Linked DNA regions of Astyanax mexicanus. The protein of the gene in region 1 purifies or fractionates together with the protein of each later gene. This does not show direct contact. Links are inferred from orthologs where the notes say so. Each region holds a gene or a part of one and is shown in the gene's direction. Other genes may lie near its edges. The genes, in order: hdac11, atg2b, gcfc2 and paxbp1.

What was found.
Region 2: the proteins of hdac11 (region 1) and atg2b purify together in Homo sapiens (co-immunoprecipitation; 3 studies listed by BioGRID and IntAct, counting the BioPlex papers as one, with this or other methods). This does not show direct contact. The link is inferred for Astyanax mexicanus from reciprocal best matches to the Homo sapiens genes HDAC11 and ATG2B.
Region 3: the proteins of hdac11 (region 1) and gcfc2 purify together in Homo sapiens (co-immunoprecipitation; 3 studies listed by BioGRID and IntAct, counting the BioPlex papers as one, with this or other methods). This does not show direct contact. The link is inferred for Astyanax mexicanus from reciprocal best matches to the Homo sapiens genes HDAC11 and GCFC2.
Region 4: the proteins of hdac11 (region 1) and paxbp1 purify together in Homo sapiens (co-immunoprecipitation; 3 studies listed by BioGRID and IntAct, counting the BioPlex papers as one, with this or other methods). This does not show direct contact. The link is inferred for Astyanax mexicanus from reciprocal best matches to the Homo sapiens genes HDAC11 and PAXBP1.

The regions. Positions count from the first base shown.
Region 1 is NC_064431.1:33,444,689-33,452,398, reverse strand, and holds the start of hdac11 (histone deacetylase 11), read left to right. Parts: upstream 1-4,699; 5' UTR 4,700-4,881; intron 4,882-5,705; 5' UTR 5,706-5,735; coding exon 5,736-5,770; intron 5,771-6,289; coding exon 6,290-6,438; intron 6,439-7,710. UniProt on the Homo sapiens protein: Responsible for the deacetylation of lysine residues on the N-terminal part of the core histones (H2A, H2B, H3 and H4).
Region 2 is NC_064421.1:22,413,478-22,421,259, reverse strand, and holds the start of atg2b (autophagy-related protein 2 homolog B), read left to right. Parts: upstream 1-4,767; 5' UTR 4,768-4,872; intron 4,873-7,782. Other genes in the region: GSK3-beta interaction protein, read right to left, coding at 1,271-1,429, 1,929-2,174, 2,728-2,790. UniProt on the Homo sapiens protein: Lipid transfer protein required for both autophagosome formation and regulation of lipid droplet morphology and dispersion.
Region 3 is NC_064421.1:47,967,274-47,975,276, reverse strand, and holds the start of gcfc2 (GC-rich sequence DNA-binding factor 2), read left to right. Parts: upstream 1-4,994; 5' UTR 4,995-5,050; coding exon 5,051-5,363; intron 5,364-5,749; coding exon 5,750-5,857; intron 5,858-5,971; coding exon 5,972-6,115; intron 6,116-7,209; coding exon 7,210-7,452; intron 7,453-7,946; coding exon 7,947-8,003. Other genes in the region: ywhaqb (tyrosine 3-monooxygenase/tryptophan 5-monooxygenase activation protein, theta polypeptide b), read left to right, coding at 444-607, 709-804, 1,903-1,962.
Region 4 is NC_064427.1:29,837,976-29,845,831, reverse strand, and holds the start of paxbp1 (PAX3- and PAX7-binding protein 1), read left to right. Parts: upstream 1-4,839; 5' UTR 4,840-4,989; coding exon 4,990-5,290; intron 5,291-6,276; coding exon 6,277-6,402; intron 6,403-6,622; coding exon 6,623-6,802; intron 6,803-6,908; coding exon 6,909-7,127; intron 7,128-7,513; coding exon 7,514-7,617; intron 7,618-7,856. Other genes in the region: hephl1b (ferroxidase HEPHL1), read right to left, coding at 471-643. UniProt on the Homo sapiens protein: Adapter protein linking the transcription factors PAX3 and PAX7 to the histone methylation machinery and involved in myogenesis.

The DNA.
Region 1 (7,710 bases):
GGGGATTAGCTTTTCTTCAGCAGGGACAGGGACAGACAGCTACTTTGTGGTGGGTTAAAATACTTTTGTGGACATCACATCACATTTTGGGCTGTCTAGACCACCAATTATTTTGCTCTACGAGGGCCTGGTGTCCTCATATGAGGCCATGATACTGTCACCTAGTGGTGGCAGAAGAGTTCAATACGTTACAGTTTTGATTTTTGTAACGTTTAAAAATTTAAATGAACACTTAACACAGTAAATGTTTATGTTTGGTACAACTGTTGTTTCTACTTTTGTTTTGCACCCAGGCAAAAAAAATGCTAAATGAAGATAAAAAATAAATCTTCTGCAAAATCATTACTAATTGTGACTTCATTGTGTTCTATCGAAATATAAAGCTAAAGTCCACATATGTGGACATAATTTTTCTCAGAAACTACTGTAAAAATAAGATAAAATAGATCATTCTTTGTTGTTTTTTTTTTTTACACAAATCAGTTGCCAATTAGCACAAATAGCAAATAAAAAGAGAAATAAAAAAGTGCATAAGCCACTATATTGTCGCTGTTCTATATAAAAAAAAATACTTATGTCCATTTTTGGTCGATTTTTAGTTTACTACATAATTTGAACAGACAAACTGTCCCTCACACTGTGCCAAAATTTCTTTTTGATGAACGGACCAACAGAAATACTTCAAAATGACCTGAAATAAACTCTTTTTGCATTGACTTCCATTGAAAGTATAGAAGGTCTTTTCTCTCTCCTGTAAAGTTGCTGTTTTGGAGATTTGGACAATGACGATATACAGTGTTTTGTCTAGTTTTTTTGTTTATGTCAGCTTAATTTTATTTTTTATCCTTTGCATTGCATTAAGAGCTATTCTAATATAAATATTCACCACGTCAGAAGGTAAGTTGTTGTTATTCAGTACAGAAAATCCACGTATTCCAGCCCAGCGCCGGACGAGCATCCTAAAGGCAGCACTGTGCTGATTAAACAGTACAGATCCTGAATGTCAGGGCATTAATTAAGTTCACCTGGGGACAGGGTCGATTATTCCTGCTGAGAAAGAGAAGGAGAAGACTGTATTTCTACAAATGAAAATCGACAGCGCTGACCTCAATTTATGCTAATGTATTCCATTATACTGAGGAGCTGCCGGGCCGGGCTGCTCTCGCTTCAAAGCAGGACCTGCTGAGAGAATCTGCTTTGTGGGAGCGTGAAGATGCTCCACATTACACCGGTCAGTGTCGGTGAGTTCCTCCTCCTCCAACTCACAGAGTCTTTTATTACAGCATTAATACAGTTAATGATACAGACGGAGGTGGAGTTTATATATATGCACACAACATAATGGGAGACATACCAGAGTTCAAAAGAGGACAAATTGTTGGTGCACGTCTTGCTGGAGCATCTGTGACCAAGACAGCAAGTCTTTGTGATGCATCAAGAGCCACGGTATCCAGGGTAATGTCAGCATACCACCAAGAAGGACCGACCACATCCAACAGGATTAACTGTGGATGCTGTAAGAGGAAGCTGTCTGAAAGGGATGTTCGGGTGCTAACCCGGATTGTATCCAAAAAACATAAAACCACGGCTGATCAAATCACGCAGAATTCAATGTGCACCTCAACTCTCCTGTTTCCACCAGAACTGTCCGTCACCACAATCAGTTATTTCATTGTCCAACCCCTGTAATACCGTATCTACAAATAGAGGTCCATGAATATTTGGACACTGACATAATCTTCATATTTTGAGCTCTGCATGCCATCAAACTGGAAAAAAACTTAAAATGAAACAAATGAGATCAAATTATAAGCATTATAACCATTTTTATTCAAAGCCTCCTCATTTCAGGGGCTTGAACGGAATTGGACGAATGAACTTCACCATAAATAAAATGTTAATTTTTAATACTTTGTTGAGAATCCTTTGCAAGAAAAAGTCTGGAACCCATGAAGATCATCTCCAAAAACCAGGTTTCCACCAGCGTTTCTTCTTTATGATGCTTTTCCAGGGTTTTATTGCAGCATTTTTTGGTTGTTTAGCTGGTTTGTGGGTTTTTTTACCTGAAGTTTTGTCTTAAGCAAGAAATCGAAAACCAATCAACTTTCAGTATTTGGTTGAATCTGAGCAGAAAGTAAATTCCTGTAACTTCAGAATTATTCCTTCTGCTTCTGTCTTCAGTCACATCATCAATAAACACTAGTGACCCAGTGCCAACAGGAGCCATTCACGCCTATGCCATCATACCACCACCACCATGCTTAACAGAGGATTAGGAGGATGTGCTTCATACCGAGCTTGAGGCTTTGTAGAAAAATGGTTATAATTCCTAAATGCTTCATAGGATATCTTTAGTCAACTCTTTAAATTAAACCTAAAAGGTCTAATTATATATATTGTATATATAATGCTCTGGAACAAAATAAGAGAGCACTTAAAAATGACGAGTTTCTTTGATTTTACCGAATTAAAAACCTCTAGAATATAATCAAGAGGAAGATGGATGATCACAAACCATCAAACCACCAAACTGAACTGCTTGAATTTTTGCACCAGGAGTAAAGCAGCATAAAGTTATCCAAAAGCAGTGTGTAAGACTGGTGGAGGAGAACATGATGCCAAGATGCATGAAAAAAAACTGTGATTAAAAACCAACCAGGATTATTCCACCAAATATTGATTATTTCTGAACTCTTAAAACTTTATAAATATCAAACTTATTTTCTTTGCATTCTTTGCATCTTTTTTTGTCATTTCAGCCATTTCTCATTTTCTGCAAATAAACGATTTTAAATGAGAATATTTTTATTTGAAATTTGGGAGAAATGTTGTCTGTAGTTTATAGAATAAAACAATGTTGAACAATGTTCATTTTACTCAAACATAAACCTATAAATAGCACAATCAGAGAAACTGATTCATTTATATATTAAATATATTTATATATTAATATATATTTATGAGCCTCAGAGCTCTGAACTCGTCTTCTCTTTAAGAACTGTTGTGATGAACGTTGTGTTTTCTGATTTGATGGTCAGCAGATGCCTTTCGCTCTCGGGCTACTCACTGACCTGAACACCGGCAGCCAATCAGAGAGCAGATCCAGCCTTACATCATCCCCAAGCCTCTGCAGCGACATCATCATTACGCAAGTGCTACACACACACTGCTATTTATAGCAGCCGCACCGCTGGGGGCAGCCGGCGTGGGACTGGATCACAAAGCACAGCGAAAAGCAAACAACGGGTCACATTCCTCCCGAACCGCTGAGAGACACACTGCTAAAAAACTGGAAAAATACATCCTTTATAAACTAAAATACCATGCTGCATCCTTCTATAACTACAGACTGTAGTTCTGCATCTGTTTCTATACATCCTTTATTATTATTATCCTTCTTCTTCACTCTCTTCTTCAAAGATTAATCTGCTTTTTTATTATTAAATATTTATCTGATCATCAATGATTTTATTACTGCTGTTCTTCTTCTCCTGTCAGATTAACTCTTATTCTAACTCTAATTCTCCTCTCTGCTGAAACTTCCAGAAACTCAGTCCTTAATCATGTTAATCTGAGCTAAAGGCTAAAGCTGCTGTTTCCATGTGGGTCAGCCAGACGTCTCCCTGTAGCAGTTAAAGTGTTAAAAACTAACAACAGAAACCTGGGGTGTTCTAAAACTTTTGACCGATACATGTATATATATATATATATATATGTATGTATGTATATATGTACATATGCATTTGTTAGTGGAAAAAAAAAAGTAAAATCTTACAGCACTTCATGCTTTCCTCTGCTGACAACTTTTATAGAGATGCAGATTTCATTTTCCAGCAGGATTTGGCACACTGCCCACACTGCTTACCAAAAGTACCAATTGGTCTTATAAAATATTTTAATTTTCTGAGACACTGATTTTTGGGTTTTCATTGGCTGTAATCCATAATCAATAATCAACAATAAAATAAATAAATGTTTAAAATAGATCACTGTGTGTTTAATACATCTATATAATAGTTTTGAACTGATTTATTCTATTTTTGAATGCAATACTACTATACACATAAGGATGATGCTATATACAAACAAAATGGAATATAGTTATGCATAGTTTTGACTGGAATATAGTGTTGTGTGTCTGATTTTAATTAATATTATATAATAGATACATAAGAAATAAACACTTAAAATCGATAATTCTGTGTGTAATACATCTATATAATAATTTTGAACTGAATTTCTTTTCAATGATATTCTAATAAGGATGATGCTATATACACAACTGGAATATAGTGCTGGGTGTCTGATTTTAATCTATATAATATATTTATAGGGATCATTTATGACACTTCTTTTCCTAATTTCATGATTTTTTTGGTCTCTTTATCTCTTATTCCATTTGAATTGAGTGAATCTGCTTTGTCTTTTATAATTTGATATTGTACCTTTTACAATTTTAATTATTTTAAATTTAAAAAAAAATGTAATATATACATATATTATTTATAATATTGATTCAAATCAGACACCCAACTCTATATTTCAGTCATGTGTGTCGCTTAAAACAGAGCACAACAGCAGTAAATATGAAATTAAGAGCTATTTTTATATATTTTATAGGATTTTTACTGAATCTGTGCAGATGTGCACAGCTGTGCACTGTCAACGGCGTGTGACGTCATCACGCGGAGTGCGGAAATGGGACGGTAGGAAAAGCAGCTCGAGCGCTTCTGTCAGTCTGTATAAATCAGTTTAATACAGATATATAGAGATATATAGAGAGATATATAGAGATACAGATATATAGATATATAAACCTGTATATGAGATCTGCGGTTCTCCAGCAGCAGCAGCAGCGCTGTAGAATATAAACACCAGCAGGTGAGTTTCTGTATTTACAGCGCTTTTTCTCTAATAATCCGCTTTATCCGCTCAGAGTTATTAAATTAATAACCTCAGTTAATAAATCAGACTGTATTAAACCCGCTCAGACCGCCCGCGATCTTTACATTAACGCGAAATAACCAGAGCACTGTATATTCTCCTAAACACCAAATGTTGCGTCTCTGAAATTGCTGCCGCGCATGCGCAGCAGGGGCCGAGGATTGTGGGAAATGTAGTGTGTAGAGTGAGAGCGTCTGTTAAGGCTCAGGTTCAGTGCACTTTTTATCTATTATTTTAACGACTTAAACTTAAAATATTGCTTATTATTCGATCTTAATATTACCCGGACACCGTATTTTACTTTATTTAATTTAATTATTTAATGTTATTTCTATTTAGTTTTTTTCTTCTTACTTTTATTTGTTCCTACCATTTATTCAACTTAAATTAAGTGAATCTGCTTTGTCTTTTATCTTGTAACTCTTACCAATTTTAATTATTTAATAATTGGTTGTGTTTAAATGCTGGTTTTTGTATATGCATTCTCTATAAATAAAAAATATATATTATTATTATTATTATTATTATTATTATTATTATTAGTAGTAGTAGTAGTAGTATTGTTTTTCTTGTTCATTTGATAATTCTGCATTTATTAACTGAAATTCGAGCCGCTCATGCTCAGGTGTAGCCGAGTATTGTGGAAAATGTAGTTTATGTAACGTTAAACAACAACTAAACAGACGATTATTATTTAGAAATGCACTAAGTTCATATAATTAAACAGGTATTATTATTATTATTTTTTTTTATCTCTTTAGGTCGAATAATGCTGGGGTGCAGAGATCAACATGTCCAGTAAAGAAACTACAGAAGGAAACAAGGGGTGAGTAATAAACTAAAAATGAACTACAAACACCCAGTTTAAAGTGTTAAATTTACTTTAGTTGCAACTGAAAAACAAACCAACAAATTTATCTTAATTTTGTAGTAATGTAAAGTAATGTAAAGTTATGCTGTGTAATTTATTAATATGTACAAAATGTGTATATAGCACCATTATATTTGAGATGTGTGAAGTGATAGTGGGAGTTAGTATTTCTAATTATTTAATTTGTATAATTTGAAACTTTTTTTTGCAGTAAATATAAAAACAAATATGTGAGGTTCATTTTGTAAATAGCACAAACATATGCAAATTATACAAATACAAATATTTATACAAATATATATATATATATATATATATATATATATATATATATATACATTTTATTTTTTATATTTAGATTTATTCATATAAATAAATCTAAATATTAAGAAATTACAGTGATACAATAAAATTTGTAAATCAATACCTAAAACCAAACTAAAATATACATCACATTGTTCCATTTTTCTCTAGTTCACACCGGACGGAGCTGTATGTACAGGTTCCTCCGACATGTCTGCCTATCGTCTACTCTCCGGAGTATAACATCACCTTCATGGGTCTGGAGAAGCTCCATCCCTTTGATGCTGGGAAATGGGGGAAGGTCATTCACTTTCTAAAAGGTAAAACTGCTGTTTTACTTTTTAACTTTTTGACATATTGAGTTTTTTTTAGGGCTTTTTGAGTTTAAAAGGCTCAAATCATCACTGAGTAGAGGTGGGAATCATAGGACATCATCTTACAATATGATATTATCACTATACTATTCTATACAATACTCCTAAATAATTTAATATCAGAAATTAAGGATTTATTTAGACTTTCTTACATTTCTGGAGTTTTGCTTGTTTATCTTGGTAACAGAAAACACAGGAGCTCCACTGACTGAATACAACCTAGACAGACGGCAACAGTCAGACGTTCATCGCTATCTTGGCAATGCAGCCGTGCACAAACCCAACATTTGCATCAACAATAAACAGAATAGTAAATAAAAAAAAATAACATTGCTGTTCTGTAATAAATGAGCTGCTGGAGCTCCTTCACAGCGTCAACCAGCAGCTCAGTTTCCTCTGCTGAGAAGAGTTTGTTGGACACGTCCAGGTAGCTGCACCGTTAAAATAGCAATGCACCAAAGTCAGAGCTCACCTGGTTCTACTCTTAAAGAGAATGATGAGCAACACTGATCATCACATCCATGATCAATTACGAGTATTAGTACTGTGAATGACTGTTGTTTGCTTTTTTTTAGTCGTGCAAGGTGTACTTTTCCCGTTGTTACGATAGCAAAGACACAGTGACACACTGCCCTAAATCAAGCTGTACGGTGCAAAGCAGTTGACGTCTCGCCTATAAAATGATAAAATAGGGATCTCTAGTTCTCAGTGTGTTGAGGAGTCTGATGGACTGAGGGAAGAAGCTGTTGCTGCGTCTGGTAGTAGAGTACTATAGTCTTTGGTGAAACGTTTTTATAACCCTACTGTAACACTCGTGACCCAAAGTTACGGGAGTCCGTGGGGGAGGGGCTGTGTGATTAAGGATGGAGGGAGAGATGAAGGGATGGATGGGAGGTGGAGGAGGGAGGTGGAGATAATGAGGGGAGCAGAAGCCCGGCGGGAGCAGCAGAAGTAGCAGGTAAAAGACGAAGGTCAGAGGAAGAGTGCGGCTCTGGCAGAGCCTCAGATAAAAAAAAACTCAGCAGTTAAAACTCAGATCCTTCTGGCTTTATTTGTTATCTATTTATTACACCATCAGAAAGCCTGTGATCGTTTTGTTTATAGTATTTTTTATTATTTTTTGTTTATTTATTATTATTTAATTTTTATGATTTATTTTAATGTTTTATATTTTCATTCTTGTTCTTTTTTTTAAGTTTTATTATTCATTTAATCACT
Region 2 (7,782 bases), on another chromosome or scaffold:
TTTCGTGAGGATTTGCAGAGATGCTGAGTGTCAGTCAGTTGACCGGTCTTATGCAGACAAAACAGCACATTATCATCTGCCTCAAAAGCTGTATGCAATACGAAACTGTTACAAATGCAGGTTGAATTTCAACAAGCTCATAAAAACACAAGGAAAATCCTTTCATGTTTATGCATTTACACCAAATGTCATGTTCGTTTTTCTCCCCCTTATATAAAGCTCAAACTTTAAAGAAAAGAAAATATGGAATGTAACCATGTGTATGTTTCAGTAGCCCTTGTGAACATCACAGTTAATGGCTACTCTCTTCCCTTAAGTGTGACTCTGTGCAACATACAGAACACATAGTTCAGCGCAAAGGTCTGTGTGCAGGTTAAAAGCCTGTCTCCATAAAAGATTGTTCTACAAAGGGAATACAGAAGAAACTGAGTCTAATTTGTAATGGTTGAAAGAAAATCTACAAATATATCAAAACGCCAATCAAAAGTATATTATATAAAAGTGGTGAAATAATAGACATGTCATTGTACTGCCATACTCAGTAAAATTCAAACAAACATTTCCAACATCTCCTGCTTTAGTTCCAGAGAACTGTGATTCTTAACATTGCTTTGTTTAAAAGTATATTTGATAAACATGGACAAAGGTAAATCAAATAGCTTGAACCAACATGAATTTCTCATGGTATGAAATGCAGCTGAATGGAGAAATGGATGTACAAGCTGAATCTTTCTAAATAAAAGTTTGATCAAAATACATTTCCAGACAGCTGCTAGTCTGAAGGCCAGTTTAACAGATAATTCTAAATAATCACATTAAAGAACCCAAGGAATCTCTTTGTTAGTAAAATCATGCTTAGGTCCAATTTAGTCAAAAATAATTGAACAACCAGCAGTAACATACTTTGGCCCATCTATTTAGTAGACATAATATTAGCTGATCAGGTGATATTGAATAATGTTTAATACTTGAAATAACTGCAGACCAGGGTTTCTGGCCAATCATGTCAGTCTTGATCTAGACCCTAGTCTTGATATCTTACACCACATCCCCTAAAACATAATAAAAGCATCATCAAAGTAAATGTACAGCTAATACGTATATGACCATCATGTGTTAAAACACAGAAGTAAAATCAGGCAATAAGGTCTCACTGATAGGAAAGGATACCACTGATGCTTTAAGCTAACTGTTGTACGGAACTGCAGCATGTAACCATTAGCTAGCACAGATACTCTTAAGCCAAACTCCAGGTTTGGTGCTGAATTCGTCACTGTCCGTTCTGTTGGAGCCTTTCCAGTCGATGAAGCAGAGCGTTTCCAAAGGCTTCTCTGTAGCCAGGGCTGAGGGAGTCCAGAAGAGAGTAAACAGTCTCATGATACTGGTTGCTCAGATCCTCATCCACCTGATCAAAGGAGTAGCCCACCACCTAGAAAACAAAAAAAGAGAGGGATTGTACAACAAATAAGTTGAGTGAAAACACAGTGCAGAGCAGGTAACTTACACTATATGTAGAAATATACAGTATGTGGACACTCCCTTATAAATGAGCAGTTAGCTTCAGTTTCTTTGGACACTAATAATACACTATATTGCCAAAAGTATGCACACGCCTCCTGAATTTTTTTGTTTGGTTGTTGGTGAGTGAGGCTTGGATAGGCATGGAAACCAATTCAATGAAACTCTCTATGCTCTACTGTTCTTGAGAAAAACTAAGGCCTACATCAAGCACTATGAGCCCTAGCATTTTGGTTTCATTACCAGTCGCTTCCACTTTGTTTTAATACCTAGTGGGATGATTGTCAGTTAGGAAGATGGGGAGCTGAAAAGGAGTGGTGATCATCTAGCTTACATCCTGACTTCACAGTAATGTTCCAAAATCTAGTGGAAAATCCCTAGATATGAAAGACAAACTCTTTTCCACTCACCCTTAACCCCGCCTCGGTGAGCTCAAGGCAGTAGCGGTTTCCTTCTCTGGTCTCCACGTTTATGTAAGCCACGTCCAGACCGTTGGACAGAGTTTGAGACACATGCATGTCCGTCACAGCGAAGAGCACGTCGTTTACCACAGCTTCAGCCTCCAGCCTCATGTCTTTAACTCCCCCGAGATCAGCACAGCGCTCTTCGTACGAGGACCTCGACAGTTCCTCTGGCTGACAGTCCACTTCCATCCCCTACGCAAGAACAACAAGGCTGAGCAGTTAACTAGCCTGCTAGGTAGCTAATCTGGCCAGCTGAGTGTTTACTCGATTAGGTGGTGGGTGGTGGAAGCAGGGGCAGGTTGATGAGACAAAACTGACGTAATGCAGTTTACTGTTTGGCTAACGTATGCTAAGCTAACCTAGTTAACTAACTGACACCAGCAGCTAAGTCTACTAAGGTCATACTAGAATTATAGCTAGTTAGCTAGCTAACATTAACAGTGACCCACAAACTAGGTAGTTATGTTTCCATGACGACAGAAAAGGTTAATATTAGCCAGGTTAGCTACTAGCTCTGTTTCGCAGTGTTTCTAATGCGCTCGTTAGCCTCATGCTAGCTAGCTGCGTCATTTAAGACAAGAGCGCTCTAAGACAAGATTGCGAGCTAACACCTAACTAACTACTGCTATTACAACACGGCTAACATTATTTTAAAGGGGGAACTCTTATTAAAACAGAATGTATCAAATTTAAAGGATTTAAAGCCTTTTCTAGGCATTTGTTATTAATTTGGTCAGCTACTCACCTCCTCCGGGGGTAGTTCAGCGGTACACTTCCGGCTCATGCCGGCAAAAATGGGTGTGTTCATCTTCAGCCAGCCTCATTCTGCGCTGTGTGTGAGTGAGTGAGTGAGTGAGTGAGTGAGTGAGTGTGTGTGTGTGTGTGTGTGTGTGTGTGTGTGTGTGTGTGTGTGTGTGTGTGTGTGTGTGTGTGTGTGGCAAGCACAAATTCGTTATTGCAATATTATGCAATTTTGAGTAACCGAGTAGTCATTAAACATTGACATTCATACTCTCAGTTAATTAACATGCGTTATCAATAAATTGTATTGTTTATATATAACCTAATGTCATGTGTAATTTTGAACAGCCATTTTAAATTCAAAATTAATCTAAATTAAATGTAATGTAATAGATACCTCAAATTTCCAAAAGCACAAATTTTCCAAAAGCACAAAAGCCCGCTTTAAAACCTTAAATGTCACTTCATTTAGCAACAATTTGGTCCTGAAACACATAATTGTGTTATTTGTGATGATGTTGAAAAAAACTGAGCACTTATTTTTTTACTGCCAAAATGTGGCCCACCTAACCCAAGCATTGCACAGCATGCTCAGCAGAGTGAGATTTTCCTAAATCATCAGGGTTAGGCAGTATGCAATCAGGAATGCCACAGCCTGTTACACAATCCAAGACACACCCTCTCTCTCACTCTCATGAAAAAGAAAACACTCATTGAACAGAGCCTTCATATGCCTTATTGCCAAGCTCACCTGTATGAGCTGAGTACATTTCAGACTTCTTCACCATCCTAAAATATCCTGTGGTAAAATCACATACACCCTCAGTTGATCAGATCATTTGAATCTACCCCCTTAGGATAATGACCTATGTCAAGAGATGTGACATCTGGTGAAGAAGAAATCTGGTGTGAAATGGACTTGGTAAAACATGATAACAAGTACAAACACTTGTTGAATAGCCCACCTTCGTTCGCCCCGAACCTTCTGAAATATAATGCTTTTTAGCTGATGCTTTCATCAGGCTTACAATGGTAGCAATAGGGCCATAGCGTTGCCCATGGAAATAAATCACTATTTCATAACCTACCAGTCACTAAGTTCCCAGTACATCGTTTTAAATGTTGGGGCACTCAGAATGGTTATAAATTTCAGGGCTGCATTCAGGGCTGTCATTTCAGAATGCTAGGGGTGAACGGAGATGGGCTTTTCGACAAAAGTTTGTAGTCATTATCATGTTTCACTTCACCATTTTACACTGGATTTCTCCTTTTGCCTAGGTCAAAATAAAATGTGATGCTATCAGCAGCCAGAGTCTAAGTGAGCACAATTGACTACTATGATCAGTAAATTGTTGGTTCAAATCCTGGTTATGCTGCTTGTCATCAGCAGCCAGAGTCCGAGCAAGCAGAGTTGGCTAGTAGACAGTGCCTCTTATCTGCCTCCCTATCTCCCATATCACTCCTGAGGTAATTTTGCAGCACAAGGCATCTGTGAGCTGATGTATTGGAACCAAGTTGCTTTTCCCTGAGTGTGCTGGCTAGATGGTAACCTCAGCAGCAGCTGACTTCATTGCTAGCGATAGGTGAAAAGCAGATGATACAAATGAAAAAAAAAGTAAAAAATCTAAAAATGAAATAAAATGTGACTCCATGTTTTAGGGCTCATCCACAGTGGGCAAATGATGAGATTTTTTAGCTATAGTAAAAAGTTTACTTTTTATTAATAAAAACTATAGGCTATAAATATTGTATAGTTGTTTAGTCTTATTATTGTCTTTTGTATGCTTGACAATTTTTGACTGTTAAAATCTTCAAACTTTTTCTGTCTTTTTAATCAGTATTTAAAAAATGTTGAATTAGGTTCGTTTCTGGTTGGTTCTGCTGCTTGACTGTATTATAAACTATATTCTTATAGCATTGCTAATTTCAAATAGCCATAACGACTGTCGTATGTTAATTTTAGTTCATATTTTTCGACAGTCTGCGCCTGGCCAGCGCAGATTTGATCATCCTGAACACTCCCTGTGCCTGTGTAAGTGTGTGAGAGCGTGTGTGTGTGTGTGTGTGAGAGAGCAGCAGGGCAGCTGAGCTGAAGAGTGCGCAGTCATGAAAGTGTTTGTAAACACCTTCAGCTACATCCAGCAGGAAGGTGAGTGATGCTGCTCTGGGCTCTTACTGACGGTGTTTTAATGCTGTTTTAACTCATTTCTTCAGACCTTTTGGCCGGGAGCCTCTGTCTCACCACGCAGAGCTCCTTAACTTTAGCTGAGCTTCCCCTGAAGGCTTTATACTGTAGCTATATAACCGAGGCTAGCTAGCTGGGAAGCTAAAGCTGTTAGCTAGCCGGTTAGCTAGCTGAAAGAGCTCTAGTAAATGAGCGCGTTTAGCGTCGGGTTGTATTGCTCGTTAACGTGTGTATGAGCAGACGCGCTTTCCTGGAATTGACACCAAGTTAAACTATGAATTTTACCTGCTTAAATAATAAAGGCTCAGTTTAGCAGATTAGCAGGACAGCTGTCTGTCTTGTTAGTTACGCAAACCCCGCTCAGTCCTGGCAGGGTGGTTGTCAGTCTGTCTGTCAGAGAGCAGAGTCTGTTAATGTGAGGTAACTAGCTATCTATCTTAATGTTGTTGGTTGGCTCACACAGTTTTAGCTAAGTAACATTAACACATACGGTTCACACACTATAAACACATGCTTTTTATCCTTTAGCCAAATTACAAAGAACCTATGGATCTTTGTTTTACTGGCTATCTTATGCTGTCCATACACTAGACGAGTTTGAAAAGACTCTAAAAAATAGACTTTTAACAGACTAACGTCTGACACCCTCTCACAACTGAGACAAGTCACAGACTAAGATTGTGCAAAGACTATTTGCAAGACTTCAACTAGATTCTTTCTGAGATTATTTCTCATCATGCTTCTGGTGGAGTTTACATACAATACATATTACATATTAAATTACAAATAATTAAATTTGAATTAAATTAATCAATACTGTGATTTATCACAGACTCACAACCCATCAACAGTTTATTGTTCTCCCACAATGTTAGTTCTTTTTTATTTTTCTAGTAGAATACATTTTGTGTTCAATTCTACCTTTAAGCTTCTCTACCCCTTTTTGTTGTTATACCTTGTATAGCAAAGAATCACAGTTTCACTGCTGTACATTTATCTTTGTTTTAGATAGAAATAATGCAATAACGAACATAATTCTTGCAAAATGTGTTTATTAAACTTGTTTGTATATGTTTAATATATTGTACATATTAAAGGTAGAACCATATAAGGCATATTAACTGCAAAATGTGTTCTTTTTCAAATCATTTGTAAATAGTGCGGCTTCCCGTAGCTCTCCTATTGATTGTTGACATTGTTCATGTCACTATTTGAACGATAATATTGAACACAGTTAATTTTATCTGAACGCCAGGATGAGAAAAAGACTGACTAAAACTTCCAGTCCTAACCACCTTACACTGAATGATCGAGATGATGCCACCACAACTCGACTGCAAATCGACTCTAGCAAGACTCTCGTGATTTTATCCCGACTCTGAAAATTTGTCTGCTTAAAGGTCATTAGTTGTAAGGTCGGCATAAGGCACTGTTTCCCCAACACTTGTGCTGGATGACTTCCTTCATTTTAAACATTTTAGTGTTTACTCTGGTCCCCGCACATCTGATCCAGCAAATCAGCTAGCTACCTAAATAACAAATAATTTTTGTTTTAAGGAAGCTGGTGTGTTACTGTAGGAAACCACTACAATGAACTACCTGGCAGGGGATCCTCATGGTATGGATTGTGTTGGGAACCCCTGATCTAACTTGCAATAAGATGACACAATTTCAGTTTATGTTTCCAAGCCATTGTTTCAGTTCCCTTCAGTTCAGTTGACAATCCACTGTAAACCAGATAGTAACAGCCAAAGCAGTTTATCATTTAATGTTGGGGCAAACACAGTCTCTTCCAGAAGTACTGCAATGGCAAGCCAAGTTCTTTAGGTGCTACTGTATACTAAAGACCAAATGCTGGCCAATCAGACTTTTAGGTATTAATTTCTGATGTTTACATGTAGACATTTCAATTACAATTGCACTCTTGTTTGAGCCCACATGTGTTTCTTATTAGCCAGGTGTTCATTGGAGGCAGCTCTTGGTTTAAGTGCTAACTGGTGCTTACCAGTGAAGACCACATTTGTTCTTAAGCCATCAGAAAAGCTAAGGGGCTGTCTTTAGAAGAAAGTGATTATATAACATTTGGGATTGGTCTTAAAAATAAACTGTTAGTTATATAGTAACCGATATCAAGCAGGTAGGCTAAGAAAATCCACAGCAAATCATGACCAACACAATGTGAGAGAAGTGAAGAAAAAAAGTCAGTCTGTTAGTGGCATCACTTACAACCTTTACAGCGTTTAGGTGTGTAAAATAAAAATAAAATATTTTTTTTTTTTGAAATATAAACATTATTCCAAGAGATGATCAGTGTGCCACTCATCAGCCGTTAGAACCAGAATACCATATTAGAATATTTAAAATACAGAGTTAAGCCACAAAACTCCTGTAAAGGACTGGTGAGACTGAGGTTAAATTCTCCCAAAGTGATGGAAAGTTCAGAGTGAAAAAGGAATACTAAGGAAATGTTAAAGAAATAACCACAATTCAAACATTCAGTCTTACCTGCCAAGCACAGTGGAGGTAGTGTCATGGTTTTGGCCTGTATAGCTGCTTCTAAAACAGGTTTACTTAATGTTCATTAATGATTTAACTCATGACTGATTTAAGGCAGTTAGTCAGTTTACAGAGAACTGGTAGCAAATGTCACACGACTCCACAGGCCCGGGGTTGTTGGTTCAGTCCTTGCTTCGGCCCGTGTCTGTGAGGAGTTTGGTGTATTCTCATGCCCGTGATGGTTGTACGTAGTACCTTGCAATAAACTGTTCCTCTGTCCAAGAGCTAAGCCTGCGTTTTGCCAAATAATTCCACTAAAGTTCTAGACACATCCCAAACTTGATCAGAAAACTTTTTTTTTAAACTGCAGCAAAACCT
Region 3 (8,003 bases), on another chromosome or scaffold:
ACATTTTGTAAATTACATTATTCTCTGCTGCCGTGAACATTTAGAGTATTTTTCTTGTGTTTCGTTCAGTATTTATTTCGTTTGTTGGTGTATTTAATCATTTATTTATTTATTTCCATCCAAGTAGTTTGCATTATGCAGCAATTCTAATGTTAGGTCAGTGTGCCAGGGTCTGTGAGTGAGACTTTGTGTCTCATTCAGCACCAGAAGGAAAGGAGGAGACACTGCTAATTTTATCTTGGGCAACTGCAGGAGTCTTTGTGTGTGTTGATATGACTCATGCTTCTTACTGGAAGTGTTAAACAGGTCATGATCTTTCTGTCTCTGTGAGGTTTTTATACACGTGGCTGGGGACACTACCACTTATTTGTCAGACAATTGTAGACAATTGACCTTTCTTTCTTTCTTTTTCTTTTTTGCCTCCTTTTTTTTTTGCTCCCCAGCCACCATAGAGAATTCTCAGGATGCATACCAAAAGGCGTTCGATATCAGCAAGACAGAGATGCAGCCAACACACCCCATTCGCCTGGGGCTGGCCCTGAACTTCTCCGTCTTCTTCTACGAGATCCTGAACTCTCCAGAGAAGGCCTGCTCCCTTGCTAAGCAGGTATGTTATACCTCACTCTGCCATGAGTGAGAATTTTTCTCTATTTGCCAGTTTTTTGTTTTTTTTAAGCAGTGCTGTAAATGGCCGTGGTTTGCTTGCAGGCGTTTGATGAAGCCATTGCTGAGCTCGATACACTGAACGAAGAGTCTTACAAAGACAGCACCCTCATCATGCAGCTGCTAAGAGACAATCTCACAGTGAGTAACTCTCTTTGTGTCCTTTTTTCTGGGTTTATGAAAGTACTGAATGTCTAGGACTCAGAATTGGCCAGTTGTAGAAGGATTTTAAATGCTGGTTTCTGTCCCTGGGCTTGATATATTGAGTATTGACTGTCTAAAGCTAATAAGTTGTTTCTTTGGGTCCTAACAAGCAAACAGCAGCACAGTTTGACAAGACCATACTACAGCTTACAGATAACTGTGAAATATCATGTGTGCTTCACTTCTGAATACTGAAGGCTGCGTTCACATTACCAAGCTGAAGTGACTCAAATCAGTTTTTTTTTTTTCTTCAAATCAGATTTGAGTCACCTTCATATGTGCTCCTAAATCAGATACGTATCCGATCCACAGACATGCAACATGAATAAGAACAGTCAAATCTAAACTTGTGCATCTTTTTGCTTTTACACATTAGCAGTAGCATTAGTGCTATGTGCTTCTCTTCTCTCGTACCCACACTGTATCTCTTGGTGCAGCTGTGCAGCTATAGCTGCAAAAAAAACAGCAAAAGCAAACCGCCTGCTCTTTTTTTTTTTTAGTTTAAACTCGTGGAGCTGAGCATGAACTTCAGAGCAGCTGTTTACTGTTTCTACACTCCAGTAAAAGATGCTCCACATATGAGCTGCTAACTCATCCATTTCCCTTTATAAAGCTACGAGTCTCTCCTCTCTCTAATATGAGTTTTTTTTTGTTGTTGGTGAAGAAGGAGGCGTTTATACAGGTATCAATGTGCAGCATGTGAGACGGTGTTTCAGGAACAGATTCTGCGTTCACATTACACACAGATACAGAACACTTACATTTACACTGAATGTGAACCGACAAGATAGACAAAGATCCAAATCTGATCTGAGTAAAAAATCAGATTTGAGCAACGTGGAGAACGTAAAGAGAACGTAGCCTATATAGCAGCAAATGACACTGGACAAGGAATTTTTGAAAGGAACTTTGTGTGTCAATTGTGTGGGAGTTTTAATGATTTAAAATCAGTAAAAGGTGTAAACAAGGTCTAAGAGCCTCAGCTCTGCTTGTTGTTTGACGCTTTCTCTCTTCTTTATTTCCATCTTTTCCCAGTTATGGACATCGGACAACGCAGCGGATGAGGGAGAGGGCGGCGACGGAGGAGAAAACTAAGGAGGAAAACTGATGAGGAGGAAAAGAAAACCTTTTTACACATCTCCATTCCTTATTACTCTACCTTAATTCTTCTAGTAAAGGAAAAAATATTGTCATTCGAGAGCTGTTTATGAAAACACACACACACACACACACACACACACAAAAAAAAAATCCAATCATTGAGTCTTTTCACAGTGCAGCTTTTGGATGAGGAGAGAGAGAGATATTAATGATTAATTGGGGCGAGAGACCTTCCATTCCTTGGTTTGTGTTTGTCCTGGTCTTCTGTTGCGTGCCGTCTCTGCTGTAGAAAAGTATGACTAGCTTTGTTTTATACCAGCGTCTTAAAAAAAATGAGTTAAATAAAAAAGACAACAAAGATTAAAGACTAAAGACATGCATTTCATTAGATTTGTGTTTTTTTTCTCTTCTCAGTTGGTATGTTTAAGACTTGTTGCAGGGATATTTAAAACTTTAGATAACGGTTCTCTCACACGCGTATATTGTTCTTATATATCACCGTATATGTATATATATATATATATCTATATATATATATATCATGGTTGTCAACTGCTCAAGTCAGTTATGTGCTATGGGTAATGCCACTGAAATAAATCCATGATGATTCTCACTTCTTACTTCTAATGATAAAAAAATAAAAAAGAACTCACAAGACTGCCACGTAAAGAAAACTGAAGATACCAATTTAATCCAGTGCGATTTTTACTTTAGGAGAGCGATGTGTGTGTAGTTTGTGGATGCCATCATATGATGCGTTTGCTTAGTGTTTTTGGTAAAATATTTACTCCGCGTTCTTTCTTTCCATAATGCCGTTAACACTTGTGTGGTCGCTTTCGCTTGTCGATTTTCCACGGAGAGGATTTGGAAGCACAGATTTGGTTGTTATGTTGTGAATTGGAGTGAGGTTTAGGACTTTGTTAAAGTAGTAGGAGTGTTGAGGATCTGTAGAACAGTTGTTTGTAGTGACACTGTTGTTACCAATGACACTCCTGATTAGTTTATCACAAACTGGCGGCACCCGAGCCCTCGGTGTATGCGTGTATGGGAGTAAGGGTATTTGGGTGTATGTATTCAGCAGGGCATAATTCCGCACAACATTTAGATTAGAACCCTCTTTCCTAGTTTGAACTTGCTTATTTAGTGTACGTGAGCATGTGTGACCTGTGACATATGTGACCTATATTAGTATATCTCTGCAGCGTTTCACTACTGAACATGGCCAAATCAACTGACGTCTCACTGTTTGGTGATTTTTCCTTTTCCTTTATTTTCCTTTATTTTTGTTTGTTGCTTTTGATGGCTGCTTTAAAAGCTCAAAGCTCACATCCCACTGTGGTTATGATGATGTGCATTTCACCTAAAGCATGAATCGGAACGGGAGTGGAACGGCAGTTCGGCACTTAAGAGAATTAGAGCTAAATAAACGATGGAAGCTGAATTGGGTATCGATCCATGCATGTCTTTGTTTATTAAGTACAAGATGGAATGGGAATTGGCACACGTGCCAAGATCAGGGTCCAGTTTAGAACTTTTCATTGCAGATTTGTGCACGTGTGAGGGTGCGTTGTTGTCCAGTGAGTGTTTGGAATAGATTTGGACCACTTATTCTGTTTTGCTAATCCTCAATTGTAGTCTCCAAAAGCCTTGTGGACATGTTTTACTCCCTGTGTAACACTTATGTAACATTAATAAAATTTTATAAACCAAACTGCTCTGGAGTCTGTGATTTGCCCAAAGTTGGCCAAAGAAATCAGTTTAATCGTTATTCTTTTTAATTTTTTTTATTGCACTCTTCCATAATACTCTTTACAACAACAGACAGGGTAAATTAACAGGTACATTTAAAGAAAATTACATTCAGGATTCAAGAACGTTTTTTCAAACAATTTTTTTTTAACAAGTGAAAAAAGTGTTTAAATGCTTACTTAATCTGAATTTGGATTGGGGGGGGCATGGTTTCTTTTAGTTTTAAGTGTCATTATGTTGTTTGACCACTAGAGGGCGCCCAAATGAATGGGTTATATGGAGCAAAATCAGAATTTATATATGTTTAATAATTTTCATACTGGAAAATTTACAGATTTTCTCAACACAGAACTTTTTTTTTTTTTTTTTTCAGCTTTGCAGGCACAGATTTTATATCTTTTAAACGTGCTCTGGCTGTATCTTCAGCATCAGCTTGCCAAACAATCAGCTCATAGTAGCAAAGAGTGGGTTTTACTGTGTAAAACCCATACTTTAGCAGAATAAAAAATTCTGCATATGGTCATGTTTTTTTTTTTTTTTGTATATTTATTTTTTTTTTATTTTGTTTACTGAAAACATTTTTAAGAAAGGGATTCATATAAAATTTAAAAGCTTCAAAATATCTATGGATATATTGGATTTTTTTTATTTTTTTTTTTTATTTTAAATTAGTAAGTGTGTGTAATTATATAAGTATGAATAAATAAATGTTTGGAATGAGAGTATCTTTTTAGCGAATTTCGTTTTCTGTATATAAAAATGTACCTAAAACTATAGCTAATTTAATTTATATTTATAATTAAATAAAGGGTCATCACAAATATGGTGAATAGTTTACTTTTAATGTAAGAACTAACTTACGGGCTCCCTCTAGCGGTGAAGTCATTTTCTGATATAACCGCGGAGATGTGAAGTTAACAATAGGTTCTCCATAAACCTGGCTTTTAGATAAATATATCAGTTTGGACAAATTTTAAAAAGAGTTTGCTATTAGGGGAAATCCTACATTATAAGCTTGGAGTACTGTGCATTATTGTTTGTGTGAGAGGGAATTATATATTTTTAAATATTAATAAATTATAATATCAAAACCAATATTTTTTCTGACCATATAAATAATAATAACGTGCTATATAGTTTAGAATTTCTCGTGTATCTCGAACACGCTTAATAAAATAAACAAACTAATAAACCGGCTCTGACTCTAGTCTGAGATGAAGAGCTTTTATTTTGAAGTGGGACTTTTTCTGTATGTACCGGAAGTGGAGTATTGGTCGCCCCGGCGCGCTGTGTTCAGGTGTGTGTGTGTGTGTGGTAGAGGTGGGTCAGTAAGATGTTTAAGAAAACGAACCGGAGGAATTTCAGAGCGCGGAGAGCGGAGTCCAGCGAGGAGGAGGAGGCGGAGAAAAGCCCCGCCGCCGCCGCGGAGAGAGAAGCGGAGCCCCCGGCCCCGAGCTCCACACTGATTAACGCGCCCCGCAGAGGGATTTCCTGCAGCTCCAAACCGAGCGCGACCCCTCCCCGCACTGCCCGCTCCGAGAGCCCCGACTGCGTGGAGCCTGAGGACCCCCAGCCGCCCGCCGGTAAACCCCAGACCCCCGGACAAACTCCCGGTCAGACCCTCAGCTTCAGCGGGGAGAGAGACGGTGAGACTCCCTCAGTTAGCGGTGCTGCAGGAACTACACAGACCAACGTTGAATCAACGTTGGATTTGGTGTTGATTTAAAAAAGTAAATTAACGTTGAATTAATGTTGTATTTGGTGTTGATTTTGAAAAGTGAGTCAACAATAAATTATAGTTGACTTTGGTGTTGATTTTGAAAAGTATTAACATTGAATATACGTTAAAAAAGTTTCGAAAATTAATCAACGTTGATGTTTAACAACTGTGTGGAAAATTACAGATGTGTCAAGATAGGACTAAAACTGGCTGAATTAATATTACAGAAGATAGTTGAGCCTGTAAGTTCTGTAATGAGCGTCCAGTGTTAGTTAGTTTTGTAAACTCGAGTGTGTGTGTGTGTGTTTACAGGTGCAGATGAATCTGAATTCAAATTGAAAAGGTCCATCAACAAAGATGTGATTTTCCAAGCTCGCAAAAAGGAACAGTCGCCTGTTAAGTTGACCAAAACACAAGCAGGTAGTATAAGTTCACTGTATAATCTGCTGATAATCACAGGATTTTCTGTAGGCAATTATATTTCTTATTTTTATGCACAGTTTAAATCCTCTCTCTGGTTTTGTTGTTTTTTAGGTGTGAAAGATGTGGATGTTAGTGAGCGCTCTGATAGCACAGCGGGGAGTTCTGCGGAGGACATCCCTCCAGACAGCGAGAGCGACAGTGAAGTTCAGTCTACATCTTCCAGAACTTCCAGCTCTTCTTCAAAACCACAGAAAGGTGCTCATTTCAGTCACGTTTCAGGCACTCTAGGTATTATTGAGTGGTTAAAGGACAATTGAGGCATATATTTTCTGAAGTAACTCATATCATGATCATAATGTATCATCAGATATTAAGGAAAAAATGCTGAGTTTAAGCACTGACAGCTCTTGACAGCAGAGCTTCAGCCAGTATTTTCTTATTAGAACTGTGTGGTAAGTCATGGTAATCTGTGTGGGATGTGGCCTTCAAATCCGCCCACCACTATTCCCCCATTGTAGCATTGGAAATAGAGATGCACGATATTGGTAAAATTTGACATTGTAATATATTTATTTATATATTTTATTATTATTTTTTCTGACAATATGTATATTGCGATATTACCATTGAACTTACATTGAAAGTTTAGAAGTTTTTTTTTTTCTCTCTCCTATCCTAAATAGTTGCTGTTTAAGAGATACTATAACATTTGTGAGAGAACACATCTAAAGCTCTATCCGGACAGGATTAGTATCTCAGGGGGTTCTGGGTAATTTTCTCTTTTATGGGGGTTTTTATCCTCTGTGAAAATAATTCCGTGCAGAACGATCATTTACGTGTTTTTCTCAGACGTCCTCTGAGAAAATTACAGGCTGAATTATCTACTGTTTTTCTCTGAACTCCGTGCTCCTCCGCTAATTTTAGTCCCGTCCGGACGCACATCTCTGAGTTTCATCTCCTCGCAGTTTTAATAAAATAGATATTTGTCCTCTGCCGCACACCGTAATTACACTTTGGGCGCGCGTTTCCACAGAGATCCACGTAAAAAAAAAAACACAGCAAGTGGAAATGGAGGAGCTACTGAACACTGTGATGTCATGTGACAGAGAAATCCTAAAACCTAAAAACTCACTGATCCTCCTGTTTTTTCAATTGCAGTCCGGATGCAGGAGTTTTATCACTAAAGAGTAGAAGTGTGAAATATGTTACACAGACCCCCCCCTGAGAAACTAAACACTAAATTCTCTGACTGTGTGAATATGTGAAAGGGTGTCTCTGGATAATTTTCACATTTTAACATTTTGTCAGGGTAATAATAAATGAAGATGCCTTATATTGTTTTGCTGCAGTTAACATCCCTGACTCTAAGAAGATCCGTGCAGTTAAGGAGCAGAGGAGGAGAGCTCGAGCCCAGCAGGACTACATCCCTCTAGATGAGGATCGGGAAAGCACTCCCAATAGATCAATAGACGGAGAGGGGGACCCGAGCGATGAGCATCGAGACAGTGATGATGAGCCAGATGATTATGAACGCAGAATCGAATTTGCACCCAAATCCAAAACCGTCAGGGAGAGAATGGCTGAGAAAATGGGTGAGATATAAATCAGTTTCTGTGATTTTGCTATTTATAGGTTTATGTTTGAGTAAAGTGAACATTGTTTTATTCTATAAACTACAGACAACATTTCTCCCAAATTCCAAATAAAAATATTCTCATTTAGAGCATTTATTTACAGAAAATGAGAAATGACTGAAATAACAAAAAAAAAGATGCAGAACTTTCAGACCTCAAATAATACAAAGAAAACAAGTTCATATTCATAAAGTTTTAAGAGTTCAGAAATAATCAATATTTGGTGGAATAATCCTGATTGTTTTTTAATCAGAGTTTTTATTTCATGCATCTTGGCATCATGTTCTCCTCCACCAGTCTTACACACTGCTTTTGGATAACTTTATGCTGCTTTACTCCTGGTGTAAAAATTCAAGCAGTTCAGTTTGGTTTTATGGCTTGTGATCATCCATCTTCCAATTTACATTTTTTTAGTATTTGTGTTAAAAATGTTTAGTTTTGTTTCTGTATAGGTGGGAGTTCGAGTGAAGAGAGTGAGTCTGATAGCCAGAAGGAGGAAGACCAGCACC
Region 4 (7,856 bases), on another chromosome or scaffold:
CAGTTCTTTTTTTCTTTTTTATTTAGCAAGGTTAAATTTTCACACTCACACAGGCTGACTTCCAGTGTATGGATGGTTTATTAGTATGCCTATTTATTTATTTATTTATTTTTTTTAGATATTTTTAGGCATAAAAAATAGGCAATAATAATAAAGTATGTCTGTACTACTAGACAATATTTTGTTATAATGTGATATAATGTAAAAAAAAATCTTATTAGTATGAAAATCTTACAAATGTAACGATTTTATTCCTTTATATGACATTCAATTTTATAATTACTAGACTATGTTTATGTAATTTAAAGGAATTGCCTGACTGTAAATTGTCTACAGGACTTTATAAGAACAGAACTGAGTGGTAAAACTCTTGTCATGTCTGTGTTTAATTTTTCTGAGGTATTTTTGCTGAACTGCAGTATGTTATTCTCAGTATTTGGAGTGTTAAAGGGGTTGGGGGTGGAACTCACTGGTCCGATGCTGCAGGGCTGCCGCTGACCCGGTTCACTCCCCCCGGGCAGTAATCCCACTCCTCCTCCCGGGCGGCGATGTAGAAAGTTCGGGTGATTCCTGAACTCTGCCCGATAACCGAGCACAGACCCAGCAGACCCAAAATCCAGCAGCAGCTCCCACAGACATCCATTCTCTCTCTGTAACGGTGCAGACTGTGTGTGTGCGTGTGTGTGTGTGTGCGTGTGTGTGCGTGCGTGCGTGCGTGTGTGTGTTTAGCCACTCCCCGCTGGCAGCAGGCCGCTGTGAGAGTGGAGCTTTTGTTAATTGGCGCTACAGATGCTCACACCTGCCTGGCAATACATTATATTAAATTATAAAAAAAATCTATCTATCTATCTATCTATCTATCTATCTATCTATCTATCTATCTATCTATCTATCTATCTATCTATCTATCTATCTATCTATCTATCGTGTCACTATCAAGCCTTTCTCACTAAGCCCATCACCCAGTGCTGGGTGATTTTTGTGAATGGTCCTGTGCCACTAAGAGAAACAATGCTGATAGAGCAGAGGGGAAATCCACCACAAACGTGCTAGGCCCCACAACACAGGAGCTCCAGTTCTGCCCAAGGCCTTCAAATCACCTGATGTCCATGCAGGCCCATTGCAGGCTTTTTTTGTTGTATTGCTCTTTCATTGCAACTTTTATTGCATTATACATTACAGTAAGTGATCTGTGCACAATTGCTGTGATTTTAAAAATAAGCATCCAATATATATACATAACTGTCTCTTGTCCAGAATAATAATGAATGTAATTTATAAAAGTACATAAAAGTTGTATATTCTGGAATGTTACATAATGGAACTGGAATGAAGCAAAAAGATTTTGAGTGAAGTGCATTAACTGCTCATCCATTATGTGATGCTGTTTGTTTTGAGAAATGCCCACACTGTTGTGCAAATATTAATTCTGAAATGAGAAATGCATCAAAGTGACTGAGAAAAAGTATTATATGGCAGCACCAGTATATTATGTCTCCAGTAGAGGGCACTGTTAGAATAATTGATCTATCTATCTATCTATCTATCTATCTATCTATCTATCTATCTATCTATCTATCTATCTATCTATCTATCTATCTATCTATCTATCTATCTATCTATCTATCTACAGTGAGTCCAAGAAGTATTTGATCCCTTGCTGATTTTCTTTGTTTGCCCACTAATAAAGACACTATCCTTCTGCACTTTTAATGGTAGATATATTCTAACATGGAGAGACAGAATATCAAGACAAAAATCCAGAATATAATTTTAAAGAATATATTTTAATTAATTTGTATTTCAATGAGGAAAATAAGTATTTGATCCCTCTTGCCAAACACACTCAATACTTAGTGGCAAAGCCTTTGTTTGCAAGCACAGCGGTGAGACGTTTGTTGTAGTTAACCACAAGTTTAGCACACACACCAGGGGGAATTTTGGCCCACTCTTCTTTGCAGATCCTCTCTAAATCATGAAGGTTGGTGGGCTGTCGCTTGGCAACTCTGACCTTCAGCTCCCTCCATAGATTTTCGATCGGATTGAGGTCTGGCGACTGGCTGGGCCACTCTATGACCTTAATGTGATTTTTCTTGAGCCAATCCTTTGTTGCCTTTGCTGTATGTTTAGGGTCGTTATCATGTTGGAAGACCCAACCACGGCCCATTTTCAAATCCCTGGCAGAGGGGAGGAGGTTGTCCCTCAGGATTGTGCGGTACATGGCTCCATCCATCTTCCCAGTGATGCGGTGAAGTAGCCCTGTACCCTTGGCAGAGAAACACCCCCAAAACATTATGCTTCCACCTCCATGCTTGATGGTGGGCACAGTGTTCTTGGGGTCATAGGCAGCATTTTTCTTCCTCCACACATGGCGGGTGGAGTTGAGGCCAAAAAGTTCAATTTTGGTCTCGTCTGACCACAAAACCTTCTCCCAATAACTTGGTTCATCTTTCAAATGATCATTGGCATACTTGAGGCGCGCCTCCACATGTGCTCTCTTCAGCAGGGGTACCTTTCGGGCACTGCAATATGTGAATCCATTGTTGCGCAAAGTGGTGCCAATTGTTTCCTTGCAAACTGTGGTCCCAGCTGCCTTCAGGTCATTTGCTAACTCCTGCCGAGTGGTTGCAGGACGATTTCTGACCGTTCTCAGCATCATTGCCACCCCACGAGGCGAAATCTTCTTTGGAGCACCGGGCCGAGGTCTGTTGATTGTCATGTTATACTCTTTAAACTTTCTGATAATTGCACCAATAGTTGTTACTTTCACATCCAACACCTTACTAATCTTTTTGTAGCCCATTCCAGCTTTGTGAAGGTCAACAATTCTGACTCTGAGGTCCTGTGACAGCTCTTTGGTTTTACCCATGTTGGAGACTTGAAATCTGTGTGATCTGTCTGATTCTGTGGACAGGTGTTTTTCACACAAGTGATTAGTGAGAACAGGTGGCTTCAGGTCAGGTAACAAGTTGATTGGGAGTGTCTAACTGGTCTGTAAAAGCCAGAACTGCTAATGAATACTAAGGGATCAAATACTTATTTTCACATGAAATACAAATCAATTAATATATATTCCTTAGATTTATTTTCTGGATTTTCTTTTTAATATTCTGTCTCTCCATGTAAGAATACATCTACCATTAAAAGTATAGAATGATCATGTCTTTATTAGTGGGCCAACGAAGAAAATCAGCAAGGGATCAAATACTTCTTGGACTCACTGTATCTATCTATCTATATATACATATACATACATATATATATATATATATATATATATATATATATATATATATATATATATATATATAGAGAGAGAGAGAGAGAGAGAGAGAGAGAAAGAGATCTAGAGTTAGATATTCTTAGCACTTTTACCTATCAAAATGTTCAAAATGTGTTACTGTGCCTGGTATTTTACTTTGTTGAAACCAAATAGTTATTTCTGTGCCAAGAGGTCCTGGGGTCTTAGAAAACTAAAAGGCAGAGAAATAGAAAATAAATAGGGAAAAGACATTTGAAGGCCCTTAAATTCACATTTAAAAACAAAGTTTATTCAGATAGCAATTTACAAAGACATAAAAAATGAATAAATAAAAGTTTCCAAGCCTCTTTTGAGCAAACAAATACAAAAAAGTCCCTGGGTCTTAAGAATTTGACTTGTTTCACTGGATAAAATGGCATATTTGTCACCGTCATATAAAAACTTTAAAATGCAAGTCATTTTGTCCAATTTCACATGGACATCAGACTATCCATTACATGTTATTACACATTGTGTTTTTTGTCCATATTGTTTACTCCTAGTTTGCTTGCATATGTTCCTGTGGATGACTTTCAGGTCGTAATTTGGTACTTTTTTTAGTTGTTGGTGGTACGCTTTTCAGCGTTTCAATGCTTTATGGAAATTGTTACAGCGTTTTTTTTTTTGTTTTTTTTTTCCAACAAACCACACTGTATTCTATTTTAATATATTTATTTGCTTACTTATTCTTAATAAAAAAATTACAAGGAATATATATGTCCAGTAGAATGAGTTGTACAAGTGGGTCATAGATAAAAAATATGTACAATGTGCATAAAAATTATGAGTTTCTTTGATTTTACCAAATTGAAAACCTCTGTAATATAATCAAGATAAAGATAGGTGATTGCAAGCAATTAAACCAAGCTGAACTGCTTGAATTTTTGCACTAGGTGTGGCATAATGTTATTCAAAAGCAGTGTGTAAGACTGGTGGAGGAGAACATGCCAAGATGCATGAAAACTGTGATTAAAAAACAGGGTTATTTCACTAAATATTGATTTCTGAACCCCAAAAACTTTATGAATTTTCTTTGCATTATTTTGCATTAAAGCTCTGCATATTTTTCGTTATTTCTACCATTTCTCATTTTCTGCATATAAATGCTCTAAATAACAATATTTTTATTTGGAATCTGGGGGGAAATGTTGTCTGTAGTTTATAGAATAAAACAATGTTAATTTTACTCAAACATATACCTATAAATAGCAAAATCAGATAAACTGATTCAGAGACTAAAGAGGTGTATATTCGGCTGGGTTGATATTGATATAAACTGATATATAAGCGTTATGCAGGTAGACCACTCCTGCGTGTTTTGGGTGCTTCGTTGCTCTAAATCTGAGTCTGATTCAAATTATCTGTTCGTTATCAAAAGTCAAAAAAGGAATTTAGTTTTAGTTATTTAATTTGATAAATTCAAAGGGACTTAAATTCATGCATTATCGGGTTAAAATAGCGTTTTTATTGTGTGTGTGTGGGGGTGTTTGAAAGCTCTCCGCCAGAAGAAGGCAGCACTGAACCAGCTTCTCCACAGGTCATCCCGGAGCCGCCGGCGAGAAAGCGGCGCTAACTCGTCGGGAAGATGGTGCGAGTGCGGCGGAGCTGCAGCCAGTGTTTTGGCGCCTCAAAAAATAACCCTCATTAGCTCGCCTGCGCCTGTACGGTGCGCTGGTGATCGGGTCGCGATGTTTAAGAAGGCGAGGAGGTGCAATTTTAGGCGGAGGAACGACTCCGAAGATGAGGAGAAAGACGAGCTCCAGCCCCAGAGCGCTGAGCAGCAGCAGCAGCAGCAGCACCAGCCGCCGGCGCCGTGCGGGCCCGGAGCGGGGGGCGACTCTGGCACAGCCAGCGCCGACAGCAACGCGGTCAACAACCACGGAAACGGCTTTCAGTCCAGCGCTTTAAAGGCGGCCAGAGAGAAGAAAAGGAAGAAAGAGGGAAAGGAGGAGCCCAAAGCCAGCCTGCTCAGCTTTAACGACGAAGAAGGTAGCTAGATAGTTAGCTAGCTAACACGTTAGCCAGCAAGCTACAATGCGAGCTTAACAGCTAGCTAGGTTAGCTAACTGTGTCTAGCTGTCCAACTGAGCTAAGCCAGGTAGCTAGCTAGCTTAGCTAACTGTGGCTATAGCCAGCTAACGTTAACACAGAGCACATGTAACGTTAGCTACATGCTGCTAGCTTCTGTCATTTTCTAAATCAAAAAGAGTAGCTAAGCTAACTTTGGTAACTTGAGCTTTCCTGTATAACATTTGAGATTTCGCATTGGTTAACTCAGCCATGCCTCTGTTTCCTCTCTAACATTTAGTAGCTATTTAAGCTAGTTAGCATTAGCTTATTTAGTGTTAGTTCATGTACGATAACAGACTATTAAAATATTTTATTTTGGGGAGTTATAGCTCTAGTTTGACTAATTTGATATGAAGTAACTGAAATAGTAATAGTTAAAACGTTTTTTTGAATGCATTTGTATTTGCGTACGTTAGCTAGCCAGTTAGTTAACTAGCTATCCTAACTAGGTTAGAATAAAGTAAGCCCCTCAAAAATCACAGTTAGTTAACTAAGGTACCTAAATACTACAGGTAAAAGCAGTAACCATTTATGCCTACATTTTAACATTTTAGCGAACTAGCTTACCAAATCCAAGCTGCCTTGAGGAAAGTGAGGGGTGTGTCAACAGTTTGAGTTTTGAATTGTTTTTCAATGCGTTATGGAAATTGTTACAGCGTTACTGTTAAAGTAAGTAGCAAGCAAACGCTGTATGACCGTAATGCCGTAGCTATATATCTTATCATTTTATAAGATCTATATAATGTTTATTTGCGTCTTTCCAAAAAATAAACAGTATGACGCGTGTAAACAGTCGTCATTTAAACATAACATGTTTAAATAATAGCGATGCACCAATGTGGGAATTCTGTGCTGAAGCCAGTATTCGATATAATACTTTTGTATTATTCTCTTTTTTTTCCCAGAGGAAACTGAAGTTTTCAGAGTCAAGAAGTCCAACCACAGCAAGAAGATTGTTAAGCAACTCAAGAAGGAATACAGAGAGGAGAAAATAGTCCATGTGGTGCAGGACGTCACCACGCGTCTTGATGGTGTGTTACGTAGTCTTGGTTCTGTCATACAGAAAAATCATGTAGAAATCATGTAGTATGATCTTGTTTAACATATGTTTTTGTAATTAAATCGTGCACAGATGGAAAACACATCATGCACAAATCTATTTATAGAAAAAAAATCTTTTGAGTTTTGAGTATATTAATATTTGTAGCTAATATATTTTCTGTGTCTGTAATTTGGTTGTGTTTGTTGTAGGTGCATCTGGTCCAGCAATAGTCAAAGATGAGCCAGTGGACAGCAGAGGCAGCAGTGAGCAGGGTGAAGGTGAGATGGAGGTGGACAGTAATGATGAACCAGAAGATGAGAGTGAAGCAAAGCCCGGTGGTGGAGGAGCTTTCTCCGAGACCCTGTCTGCTCTCAGCTCCCTCAGACCAGGTCTGATTTTCTGATGTTTTTTTATGAGAAAGAGAAATGTCAGAACACGTTCTATGTTCAGTTTGTTAGTTTTAGTGTTAATGTGAAACTTCTGCTCTTTCTTCAGGTGAGATCCCAGATGCAGCCTTCATTCACGCTGCACGTAAACGGCGGCAGATGGCTCGTGAGCTTGGAGGAGATGCCCCATTGGTGGAGGCAGAGGTAGCAAATAAACGCCTGGTTCATGAAGATGAGCAGGGTGGCAGTGATGACGAAGATGAGAAGAGGATAGTTTTCAGTGGCGTCAAGCAGAAGAGCCAGCGGCAGAAAATAGCAGAGGAGATTGGTGAGTGTGAAATATCAATTGGTGTGTTTTTAATGTGTTCTTGTCATGTAAATAGATCAGATGCCATACTTGAATATTGAGTGGGAGGGAGATGCATTAAAAGCTGTCAGCTTTCATCTGATGGCATTGAGTGATCACGCTTTGGCCAAATGTGTAATTATTATTGTTTAGTAGCTACTGCATACTGCATTCACTCTAAATATGAAATGACCATAAACCTTTTGATATAAAACCATAAACCTTTTGACTGTAATTTCTAAAAAAAAGGTAGACAGGGGTATTGTCTACTAGATCTAACGCAGGTTAAAATATAGATTTGAAGTGTGATTTAGTGTGTTGTGAAGATTCTGTGCTGAAATGTATTGATGATGCCTGTGATTGTGCAGGTATTGAGGGCAGTGATGATGAGGCTCTGGACACTGAAGGTAATGATGAAGAAGTTAGTCGCTGGGAGCAGGAGCAAATTAGGAAGGGCATTAGCATCCCACAGGTGAGCCCTCCAATCTTTGCACTCTTTCAGCCCGTTCAGCAGCTTAAGGGATCTCCTTGAGTGCAGAAGAATGCAAAACAATCAGTCCTTCAGGACAAGTCTTTATTGTTGTGTGCCTTTTTGTTATACATTGTATGTTTGTGTCTCTGTTTAGATGTAATGATTTAATGCCAAAAAGTACAATAATAAATAGCTAAATGCAGCACATCCATCTGTACAGTTTAACCCCAATTTATTTT